Mus musculus: one gene and its partners. The protein of the gene in region 1 interacts with the protein of each later gene in a pairwise test. Links are inferred from orthologs where the notes say so. Each region holds a gene or a part of one and is shown on either strand. Other genes may lie near its edges.

What was found. The genes of interacting proteins can lie anywhere in the genome.
Region 2: the proteins of Lzts2 (region 1) and 9930104L06Rik interact in binary tests that used the Homo sapiens proteins (3 or more experiments, as listed by UniProt). The two-hybrid records come from large-scale screens. The link is inferred for Mus musculus from reciprocal best matches to the Homo sapiens genes LZTS2 and AIRIM.
Region 3: the proteins of Lzts2 (region 1) and Zgpat interact in binary tests that used the Homo sapiens proteins (3 or more experiments, as listed by UniProt). The two-hybrid records come from large-scale screens. The link is inferred for Mus musculus from reciprocal best matches to the Homo sapiens genes LZTS2 and ZGPAT.

The regions. Positions count from the first base shown.
Region 1 is NC_000085.6:45,021,135-45,024,369, reverse strand, and holds part of Lzts2 (leucine zipper putative tumor suppressor 2), read right to left. Parts: intron 2,984-3,235; 5' UTR 2,942-2,983; coding exon 2,534-2,941; intron 2,533-2,533; exon of another isoform or gene 2,100-2,532; intron 829-2,099; coding exon 166-828; intron 1-165. UniProt on the Homo sapiens protein: Negative regulator of katanin-mediated microtubule severing and release from the centrosome. Required for central spindle formation and the completion of cytokinesis.
Region 2 is NC_000070.6:124,935,636-124,939,847, reverse strand, and holds the start of 9930104L06Rik (uncharacterized protein C1orf109 homolog), read right to left. Parts: upstream 2,801-4,212; 5' UTR 2,515-2,800; intron 1,409-2,514; 5' UTR 1,406-1,408; coding exon 1,131-1,405; intron 1-1,130. Other genes in the region: Cdca8 (borealin), read left to right, coding at 3,166-3,259, 3,365-3,493. UniProt on the Homo sapiens protein: Part of the 55LCC heterohexameric ATPase complex which is chromatin-associated and promotes replisome proteostasis to maintain replication fork progression and genome stability.
Region 3 is NC_000068.7:181,364,216-181,368,222, forward strand, and holds the start of Zgpat (zinc finger CCCH-type with G patch domain-containing protein), read left to right. Parts: upstream 1-1,207; 5' UTR 1,208-1,456; coding exon 1,457-2,037; intron 2,038-4,007. Other genes in the region: Arfrp1 (ADP-ribosylation factor-related protein 1), read right to left, coding at 96-183, 390-482. UniProt on the Homo sapiens protein: Transcription repressor that specifically binds the 5'-GGAG[GA]A[GA]A-3' consensus sequence. Represses transcription by recruiting the chromatin multiprotein complex NuRD to target promoters.

The sequences.
Region 1 (3,235 bases):
GCTGGGTCCAATTCCTATATACCCTGCCTCCTCACCGCTTTGAAGGTTAAGCTAACCAACCTTGGGGGGGAGGGGTGTCACACCAGGAGTCTTGACCCTCTCCCTCCCCAACAGCAACGCTCTGGGTATTCAGCCCCACGGCCCCAGGACTGCCATTGGCCGCACCTGACACACTGTGGCCTCACTCTCATCCATACTGTCCCGCAGCTGCTGCAGCTCTGCCTCGCGGTCTCTGAGCTTCCCTTCCAGGACACAGTGTAGCAAGGCCTCATCCGAAGGGGGTGGAGGTGGTGGAGGGGGTGGAGAGCGGTCTCCACCAGAACTGCTGCCAGGGGAGGCCCGGGCACCACTGCCCAAGAGCCCCCCAGCTACACGACCCCCCAAGGAGCCCGTGCTTTTGCTGGAGGAGGACCGGCCACTGTCTGAATGGGAGGGCCCAGTAGGGACCCCTCGGGCTGGACCAGGCAGTGCCCCTCGGCCAGGGCCGTGGGAGGGCAGGTGCCCACCTGGGGAGTTGGTGGTTGGCTCGGCACCTCCAGTGCTGTAGGTGGGCAAGCTGGATAAAGAATTTCGGCCAGAGTCTGACAGCGTTCCTGAAGGGCAGCCACTGGCCCAACCACTCAGTGCCAAGGGTTTGTCAGCAGCAGAGGAGGAAGAGGAAGAGGAGGAGGAAGAGGCTGGCCCCCCAAACAGCTGTGTCAGGCTGCCCTGGCTCCCAGATAGCCCAGCAGCTCGAGGACCAAGGAAGCCGGGTAGGGATGGCGCCCCCCGAGGTTTGGGTAGCACTGGCTTGAAGGCTGTTGGCCGGATCAGGATCTTCTCCATATTCTGAAATGAGGCACCAGTTGACACTGTGAGGGTGATCTGCCCAGTCCCTTGCCCTTTTTAAAATGTTATTTCTGTTGCTTTTCTGAGACAGGGTTTTACTTTACTGGCCCGAGCTCACTCACTTTGTATCCCCAAGCTAGGCTTGATCACAAGCAAGGTTTCTCTGCCTTTTAAGATTACAGGGGTGGGTGGGGGGTGGGTGGGGGGTGGCTCAGCGGTTAAGAGCACTGACTGTTCTTCTGAAGGTCCTGAGTTCAAATCCCAGCAACCACATGGTGGCTCACAACCACCCGTAATGAGATCTGGTGCCCTCTTCTGGTGTGTTCAAAGACAGCTACAGTGTACTTATGTATAATAATAAATAAATCTTTAAAAACAAAACAAAAACAAACAAACAAAAAAAGATTACAGGGTGTGTGCCGGGCAGTGGTGGTGCACGCCTTTAATCTCAGCACTTGGGAGGCAGAGGCAGAGGCAGGCAGATTTCTGAGTTCGAGGCCAGCCTGGTCTACAGAGTGAGCTCCAGGACAGCCAGGATTATACAGAGAAACTCTGTCTCCAAAAACCAAAAACCAAACCAAACCAAACCAAACAAAAACCAAGATTACAGGTGTGTCATACCAAGCCCAGTTTGCTTGCTTGATCTTTCAAAACACTAACGTGTGTAAGTTTGTGTGTGTGTGTGGTGTATATGTATGTTTTATGTGCATGAGTGTGCACGTGTGCACACACTGGTGACTGGTGACTGCGTGTGAAGAGACCAAATGTCAAAGTCAGGTGTTTTCCTCAATTACTTTCCACCTAATTTGTTATACAGCCTCTGAACCTGGAGTTCACCAACCCAGCCAGCCTGACTGGCCAGCCAGCCCCAGGGATCTGCCTGTCTCTGCCCGTCAAGTGCTGAGATTCCAGTCCTTTGCCACAATGGCCAACTTCTTACAGGGTACTGGGGATCTGAACTCAGGTTCTTGTGTTTATGCAGCAAGCATCTCACCCACTTTGCTATCTCTTCAAGCCTCAAACCTTGATCTTTCAAAACTGTCACACTACTCGATTCCCCATACAGGGTCCTCAAGTCCTATAAATTAAAAACAACTCTTCCCTCTAGCAGCAAGTTTCTAATTGCCTACTTACATTAAGTAATTCAAAATGCTCATTTTTTAATCATAATAGCTACACAAACAAAACATGATCCTCTTCTCATATTAAAAACAAGGATGTAGAGGCCCATAGTAAAGTTAAAGGTTTTGCCCAAGGACACATACACACACCTCTGAATAATTGAAGCAACTAGGCTGGAGGTGGTAACAAATGCCTTTAATCCTAGCCCTCGGGAGGCAGAAGCAAGCAGATCTCTGTGAGTTCGAGGCCAGCCTGGTCTGCACAGTGAGTTCCAGGACAGCCAAGGCTACAGAGAGAAACCATGTCTCAAAAAACAAAATAAAACTAACTCAGACAATTACTATATTGTTCATTTGAGGTTGCTGGGTACTTTACTATGTATTAATTCTAACAGGAACCTACAAAGATTAGCCTCTAACCGTAACCATAAAGACACAGAAAACGGGGCTCAGACAGGTTATTTCACTGTCTGAGTGGTAAGACAGAACCCATATTCTTTGCTCTACTGACGCTTCCAAATTCTAGCTTCCCTGAGGGGCTCCTGGCTTCCCACCCAGGTCCTCCCAAAAGGGCTGCCCGTTACCTTCTCCAGCTTTCCAGAGACAGGGATGAGCTTTGGTGGGGGCCCACGGAGGTGGGCATTGTGTGCCTGATGTTCCCGGGGATCTTCAACATCACTGCTGGGGCTGGGAGGAGACTCTGTCCGGAAGTCCTCATTGACATAGGTAAAGCTATTGCCTGGGACAGCCTTCCTCGGTGGCACAGCCGGGCAGAGCGGTTCCTGTGCCTCGTAGCCACCCGGTAGCAGCCCATCCTGCTGGCGGAAGAAGGTGGGCCCAGGGACACCATGATGTCGTTGAGGAGCAGGTCCCCCGGGGCAGGGCCGGCCTGAGATAAGACTGCTCACGCTGCCCATTGCTGGAGTTTTGGGGGCAGTGGCTGTCTCACGTGCGGGCTCCAGAGGCACTGGCAGAGTGTGCACAATGGCCATGGTGGCAGAGGCTCAGGTCTGGCCAGGGGCCTCCGGGGCAACCTGTGAGCAGGGCATTGGTGTCAGAGTCCCTGCACCTTGAGGATCCTCCCCCTATAAGCCTTCTCCTGACCCCCTCCTCCAGATAGAACATTCCCCATTTAGGAAAAAGGCTTCCCTTCCAAGAACTGGCATGAACCTCGAGTTCCTCTGGGCCTCAACTCTAGTCTGGAACAAGGCTAAGGAATAACTTGACCACACAGAGAGGAAGGAATGGGAGATCTAAACATTTATACAGGGTTCCTTGGCAGAGAA
Region 2 (4,212 bases), on another chromosome or scaffold:
TACATAGTATTCGAATGCTGACTCTAAGGAACCCATCACTAAAACAAAGGCTGCAACTTCCCAATGGACAAGGGATCCTCTAGCCCAGAACGCTAGCTCTAAATATCCTACTGTGGCTTATGGTGTAAAAACAGGAAACAATCCAAAATCCTCAAGTGTGTAAGACCTGCTTATAGTCGATGACTAACATCAAGAACAAGCAGAAGCCGGGTGTGGTGGCGCACACCTTTAATCCCAGCACTCAGGAGGCAGAGGCAGGCGGATTTCTGAGTTCGAGGCCAGCCTGGTCTACAAAGTGAGTTCCAGGACAGCCAGGACTATACAGAGAAACCCTGTCTCCAAAAAAACCAAAAAAAAAAAAAAAAAAAAAAAAAAAAGCAGAAAACAGAGTATCTGTGTAACACCTGTGTTGTTACTGTTTCTTGGGCTACTTAGTTACACATGTATCCACTTGTGTGTAGAACCAGGTGGTGGTAAGAAGCCCCAGCTTAAGTGGCAGGCCCACTTCAGATTCCTGGCTCTATTTCTCACGGACTCTGTGATCAGGACAATCAGTTTGAGTTTCCCTTTTCTTGCTTCCAAGTGCATAGACAGGTATAAGGCAGAGGTGTACAAGGTCCCGGACACACAGTCCTTACTCCCAGCTCTCCCTGAACTGCAGTACACCAAGGACAACGACAGAAGAGGGCTGCACTCCTCGCCACCCTCTTCTTTTCTGCTTTTGTAATTTCTTCCATTTATTTAGTTGGTTTGGGGTTATTTTTATTTATTTGTTTGTTTACTTACTTATTTATTTTGAGACTGGGTTTATCTGTGTAGCCCTGGTTGCCTTGGAACTCTCTATGTAGACCAGACTGGCCTTGAACTCAGAGATCTGCTTGTATATGCCTCCTTAGTGCTGAGATTAAACACCTGGCCTGATTTGGGTTGTTTTGTTTTGTTTTAAAGACATGCATGGTCTTACAATGTAGTCCAGGCTGGCCTCGAACTCACAGACATTCAACTTAGCTCCAGCATGATTACTCCTGACTTGCTTTTGTCGATTTCTGTAGGACCCCCTGACTGAGGCTGGGATGCCATGCGGCATTAAGATCTGTCCATCAACAAAGGGGGACAACAGAGCCTCTTACAGCCGCTCAGCTAGCTTGTCCAGAACAACGTCACCAGCCTCCAGCTGCTTGCGCCTCAACCGCTCCTGTAAGTCTGGAAAGGGACGCAGGGCTGGCACATCCTCAAAGCGCAGACTCTGTGCGGCTTGCAGCTGCTCAGCCAGGTTACTGAGAGAGGACAGGAGGGGCGAGCAGTCCTGCAGGGTGCTCTGCCACAGGTTCTGCTGTTCCTCCACCACAGGGAAGCACTTCCTCAGGGCCTCCTGCACAACCAGCAGAGGCTGGTCATGAGCCATTTTCTGGGAAAAAATAAACAAAACAAAAGGGAGTCAGGGTACCAGAAGGGAGGGCCTGCATCAAGGCTGCGTCATTTCCGACCTCAGGAGAAGACCAGCTGTTGGTCTTCAAATAGTCCCAAGGCAATAATGAAAGGTAGGGAGACTTTGGGGGACACAAACAAGAACTCCTAGTCCTGGAAGTGGGCTGACACCTTCAGCCAACAATGAAGGAAGAATTCCTGCAAGTACACTTACCAACTGTGAACAGCCTTTCTTCCTTCCTGCTGTAAATCTTCCATGTTCTAGAAATCTCACCAGGAATCCCATTTACAGAGAAAGGACACACACTACCCCATTTACATCTGTAGGATTTAATACCATCAAAGAATCTTGAAAGCCACCTCACTTACTTCTCTTATCAAACAACTTCTTGTTTGAAGGGAGTCACAAGGGTTTTTAGAAACCCTTTTGAGATGTAAACTGAAAGCCACCAAAATAAGTAATTGTGGCTAATGTAACATGACTTTAATTCCAGCCCTCTGGAAGCAGAGCCGGGTTTTGGGTTTGAGGCCAGCCTGGTCTCAAGAAACTGGGGGAAAAGAAAGAAAATCAACTGCTGATCTCCCTAGAGAATCTCATACCCACGTGGCTATGTCTAACTTTCTGAGATTCTCTGAGGAGCATGCAAGTGTCTTTTATGCCTAGGTGCCTGCCTCTCTCTCTTAATTCTTGTGCTTATGCCTGTATTTAAAACAGCCATAGGCTGGGAGTTGTCGAATGCATCTTTAATCCTAGCACTGGAAAGACAGAAACAAGCAGATCTCTGTGAGTTCGAGGCCAAACTAGTATACACAGAGACTTCCAAGATAGCCAGCGTTATATGGTGAGGCCCCGTAGCAAATATGTTCATGTAACTCTGCTTCATAAATCAGCTAGTGCTGAGTTCTTTTCAGCGTCAGGGCCATCAACTGAGCTCAGCTAGTGCTGAGTTCTTTTCAGCGTCAGGGCCATCAACTGAGCTCAAGTCCTTAAAAGGCTAGGGCAACTCCCCACGCTGCAGAGTGGAGCTGTGTCTCTGTCTTGTAACCGCGGACACTCAAGAATATTGATTCTGGCGGTCCTCTTACCTTCTCTCTGCAGGAAGACCGTTGCTTCGGGTCTTCCGAAGGGGTTTCTTCACGACAGGGCAATCTGCTTTAGACTGCGAGTCTCTGGGGTCTGTCTGTTCCGGGACCTGTGCTTCTGGAGTCAGTCTTGTCGCCTCTCTTTAAGATTTCCAGCCCTAAATCAACAGGAAAACGTAAATCCTGCGATGTCAACGCTGAGTACATCAAAAACTACACCGCGCTTATTCACAAGAACGAACTCACCACTCTACTTCCAGTTAGCACGACTCTGGAGTCGCGAAAAGATGGCGTGTGCCGCAATGACATCTGGGCATTGAAGTCCTCCATGAGGATTGGCTGGCGGAAGGAGAAGAAGCTTTATTGTGATTGGGCGTGGTGAGAACCGTCCTAAGACGGCGATTTGCTATTGGCTAGGCTGTGCCCGTTGAGTTTGAATTGGGTGGCGGTTAACCGAGGAGCCGCCCGTCCCTTAGTTGGAGCTGTGAGGGTTCCTCAGACTGTGTTTTGGGACCTGCAGGTAGGTTTCGGCAGAGTTCTGGAAACCTAGACTCCAACGACTGAACTTTCTCAGCTCTCCGACCGCTCACACCCTCTCCCCGTCTCAGTCGCGGAGCCGGCTGCTTGGCCCCTCGCTCGACGCAGCCAGGCGCCATGGCTCCCAAGAAACGCAGCAGCCGCGGAACCAGGACCAACACGCTGCGGAGCCGGAAGCTCGCCTCCTTCCTGAAGGACTTCGACCGCGAGGGTAAGGGGTGGATTCGCGTGATCGTGGGTTTTGGGTGGGTTGGGACGCGGATGCGACGGCTTCGCACACCTGACGCGGGATCCGTCCGCTTTCACCTCTTTGCAGTGCAAGTTCGAACCAAGCAAATTGAGTCCGACAGACAGACCCTCCTCAAGGAGGTGGAAAATCTGTACAACATCGAGATCCTTCGGCTCCCCAAGGCGCTGCAAGGGATGAAGTGGCTTGACTACTTCGGTAAGAGCTGCTAGCGTTTTCCCCGTGACCAACGAGTGCTTATCTTGAAAGCTTATTGTAGGGACTCATTCAGATGTCCCCTTCTTAATAAGGTCTAAAATAACCACCGGTAGGAAATTGCCATCTGTCATAACTTATAAAAGAATGGTGGGCCCATAGGAAAGAAGTAGGCATGAATTACCCTTCAGATGAGCGCTATTAGGACAGTGCATCTCACCTTCACGTTTGAATGGGAGAGCTTTAGAAGAGATATACCAGAAATAGAATGATGGAGGCCTGAAGGAAGAGGGGCGAGGCCGAGATCTCAAATCTATAGTACAAAGTGAGCTGATAATTGAAGGTTTTTCAGGGGTTGGGGGAGGCTGTTCCGCACTGACATGACCTAACCTATGCTAGCCTACCTGCCAATAGGCAGGGATGCAGTCGCTCAGTAGGACAGTAAGAGTTGTCCTGCAGCTTAACAGCGGAGGGAGAGGACTGTAAGAGCAGGACGCATCATGTCTTCTCAGCATCTCTGTATCCAGGGGGAGTGTTTTGGGAGAACACATCCATCTTTTGGGGAGACCCTACTGCTCAGCCCCACTGGAAACTGCCTGCCATCCAGCCAGGCCAGTGGTAGGCAAACCACTGTCCTTAGCAGGCCAGGTAACAAACAGTCTTGAGTTCTGGAACTGCATTTCTGTTACAGTTCCAAAAGAGCCGTGATGAGTTTGATTTCT
Region 3 (4,007 bases), on another chromosome or scaffold:
ACAGGGTTTTGACCACTGGTCAGCTGGGTTGTGGACCTTACAGCATCCATCTCTAAGGGACCTCCTAAGATCATATCCCTAAGGTGCCCCCTTACTGTTTAGACCCACGGTAGTGGTGATTTTGGATAGACTCATCCCCTTGTAGTTCTTGTTAAAGCGTGTTTTTGACTGTTCCAGGAAAGTCTGAGGAAAAAAAGAGAGGGGGTTAGATAGCAGCAGCTAGAGTAGTTTTCTGGTGTCCTTCCCACCTATCCCTTCACACCCATGCAGCCATGCACGCCTCTGCCTGTGGCTTGATCTTCAGGAGGCTGGTGACTACTAACCTGTAGCCTTGGGGCGGGGGTTAGATCAGGCAGGGAATGGGAACTGGTGAGAGAGCAGGGACCTACCGTCTTCCCAGCATTGTCCAGGCCCAGGATCAGGATGCAGTATTCATCCTTCTGGAACATGTACTTGTACAATCCCGAAAGCAGCGTGTACATCCTGTTCTGGCACCCTGAGAGATGTCAATGTGTGTACCGGGGGCATCGGCCTCCTGCCCTGCCCGCTTCATCAGCGGTCCGCCTCTCCTGCTAGTTTTCAAATGTGTAGCCTCGCGGATCCTGACTCTTCGCCCCCATCCCGCCTCTTCTGTTAAAATCCCTGACCCTGATTCCCCCGATGCCATCGCTGACCACGTGCTAGACCTGGGCCACTCCCACTTAATGTCATCTTTCATAATGCACCATCAATTCGGAGTCCTGAAAAGCCCGTGGCGGCCTGCTCTGCTCCGCCTTCCTAAGGCTCCTCTTTCCGAACCCTCAACTCAGAACCAGGAAACGCGGCCGGCGACTTAAGTCTAGGAAGCGACCAGAGAGGCAGAGCTCCTGAGGAGGGTCGGCTTCGGCTTCCCGCCGCCGCCGGGCCCACGGAGCCTGGGAACCAGCAGCTGAAGCCACTTCCGTCCCCCTGTTCCAGGACTTTAGAACCCCGGCCCCTCAGTCCAGCTGAGGCCCACCCGTACCTGCTCAGATCTTGGAGGAGGAGCCGCCGCCGCCGCCGCCGCCGCCGCCGCGTTCCTAACCCCACCGACCTCACGCTGACCCCTCACAGTGCCTGACGGAACAAGGAGCGAAGGACGGAGCACGGGCGGAATCGCATCCCAGCGGCCCCCGCGCGCAGGTACTTCCGGCAGCTTCGGCTCTCCGGCGGAAGTGCCCGGCGGAGGGCAGAAGGCTAGCGCGTGAGCTTGGCTGGCGAGGGCGGAAGCCCTTCTAGCCTGCGAGCGCCGGCCGGAGGTGGGGTTGCGGGCCGCAGAGGACGGGGCGGGTGACGTGCAGGTCCCCCTCGGCGGAACCGCGGCCCTCCTCAGGCTCCCTAGCGGTTTTGGGGGCGGCGTTGCCCTGAGTTGTTCTTACTGCTCTTCCTCCTGTTTTTGTCTGCGGTAAAGGTTCCGAATCCTGCCTGCTGGGTCGGGATGGACGAGGACAACCTAGAGACTGCCCTGCAGACCTACCGGGCCCAGCTGCAGCAGGTAGAGCTGGCGCTCGGTGCTGGCCTAGACGCTTCTGAGCAGGCGGACCTGCGTCAGCTGCAGGGCGATCTAAAGGAGCTGATTGAGCTCACCGAGGCCAGCCTGTTGTCGGTCAGAAAGAGCAAGCTGCTGTCTACAGTGGACCAGGAGAGCCCAGCTCAAGAGGATGCTGAGTACCTGGCTTTCCAGAAGGCCATTGCGGAGGAAGTGGAAGCGCCCGGCGCCCCCTGCAATGACTCGGAGACGGCCCCTGGGAGCGAGGTGCAGCCGGGATCCACCTCCTCTGCACTGGAGGAGGAGGAGGAGGACCCAGATCTGGAGGAACTGAGCGGTGCTAAAGTGAATGCCCCCTACTACAGCGCTTGGGGCACGCTGGAGTATCACAACGCTATGGTAGTGGGCGCCGAAGAGGCGGAGGATGGTTCTGCGTGCGTCCGAGTCCTCTACCTATACCCTACCCACAAGTCCCTGAAGCCCTGTCCGTTCTTCCTGGAGGGAAAGTGCCGGTTCAAGGAGAACTGCAGGTAAAACCCTCTGCTGCTAGCAATGAAGGGCACGCAGTCGGGACCACCGCTGTGGCCTGTCGCCACAACTAGTTTGGCACCCAGCAGAGTTGGTAATAGAGTCCAAACCTTAGGTGACTGACAGGCTTTTACAGAAGTGTTCTCCGTGTGTTTACTTAGATTTTTCTTGCATACATCAAGAAGTTTGAAAGAGCTTATGTTGAAAAGATAGGGCAATCCTTCATCAATATTCTTCTCCAAGGTGTAAAACTTTTTTTTTCCCCTTTGAGATAGCAGTGTAGTAACTCTCGATGTCCTTGAATTCTTGATCCGTCAGCAACTCTACTACATCCTGAACGCCTTCAGTTTCCAAATGCTAGGATTACAGGTGGAGGCCACCACTTCTACTGGGCTACATCTCCAGCTCGGAACCTTTTTTCTTTTTTTCTCTTTTTAAAAATTTATTGACTATGCTGAGGATGGAATTAGGGCCTCCAGCACACCAGGCAACCAACTACTGTACACCTTAGCCCCATCCCAGCTCCTGTAGTTTGCATAGTCTTACAGAAAATTTCAAACACATAATCTCTTGCTGACTTGCCCTACCTTCCCCCCCACCCCCCGTGCTACTTGAAAGCACCTTTCACAAGTTACATCTTTTTCTCTCACCCTCAAATACTTCAGAATGTAGCTGAAATAATAATTACTAAAACTGATTTATGTCTTTTTTTTTTTTTAACTCAGTCATCCAGAATAACCCTCTAGTACTTTGAATTTATTTATTTTAGGCCACTAAAATAAAAAGATTTGTTCTATTATAATGGTAGTAGTGAACTAAAATTAGTTTCACTTGGCAGGATTTTAGGCAGGGCTAGAGCCTTGGAAGTCTGAGGGCAGAATCCAGAACCCATTTCTTTGTCCATTTTTCTTTAAGGTTGTTATTATTATTTTATTTTGATTTTTAAAAAAATATATTTTAAAGATTTATTTATTTTGCTGGGCATTGGTGGCGCACACCTTTGATCCCAGCACTTGGGAGGCAGAGGCAAGCAGATTTCTGAGTTCGAGGACAGCCTGGTCTACAGAGTGAGTTCCAGGACAGCCAGGGCTACACAGAAAAACCCTGTCTGGAAAAACCAAAAAAAAAAAAAAAATTATTTATGTATGTGAGCACACTGTTGCTCTCTTCAGACACATGAGAGGAGGGCATCAGCTCTCATTGCAGATGGTTGTGAGCCACCATGTGGTTGCTGGGAATTGAACTCAATACCTCTGGAAGAGCAGTCAGTGCTCTTAACCACTGAGCCATCCCTCCAGCCCCTTATTTTGACTTATTTATTTTTTACTTTTTTAATGTTTTTCTCTAAAGATCCATCGGTTGCTTTTGTCTCATTTTGTTTTGGTAAGGTGGTTTGATACATGGTCTCTATGTAATCCTGGCTGTCCTGGACTACATACAGCTATGAAAGGCCTTGGCTGGCCTTGAACTCACTACCGAAAGGCTGGGATTAAAAGTTTGCACCATGGCCTGACTATTTTAGGCTTTTTTGAGACAGAGTTTCTCTAGTAGTCCTGGTGGATTTCCTGGAACTTACTATATAGATCTGGCTAGCCTGGAACTCAGAGGCATGCACTACCATTTCTGGCTAAGATATATTTTTAGTTAGTGTGTTTGTGTGTGTGTGTGTGTGTACGTGTGTACGTGTGTACGTGTGTACAGGTGCCAGAAGAGGGTATAGGATCTCCTAGAGCTGGCGTTCCAGGTGGTGGTGGTGACCTGCCGAACATAGATCCTGGAAAACAAACTCAGGACTTCTACAAGAGCAGTATCCTCTCAGCCACTGAGCCATTTCTCTAGCTCTATGTATTTACATTTATCTTTAGATTGCGGTGGGGGTGGGGCATGTGTACAGGTAGGTGCCCAAGAAAGCTAGAAGAAGGTGTTGGATCTCCTAAAGCTGGAATTGCTCACAGAAAACATTAACCACTGA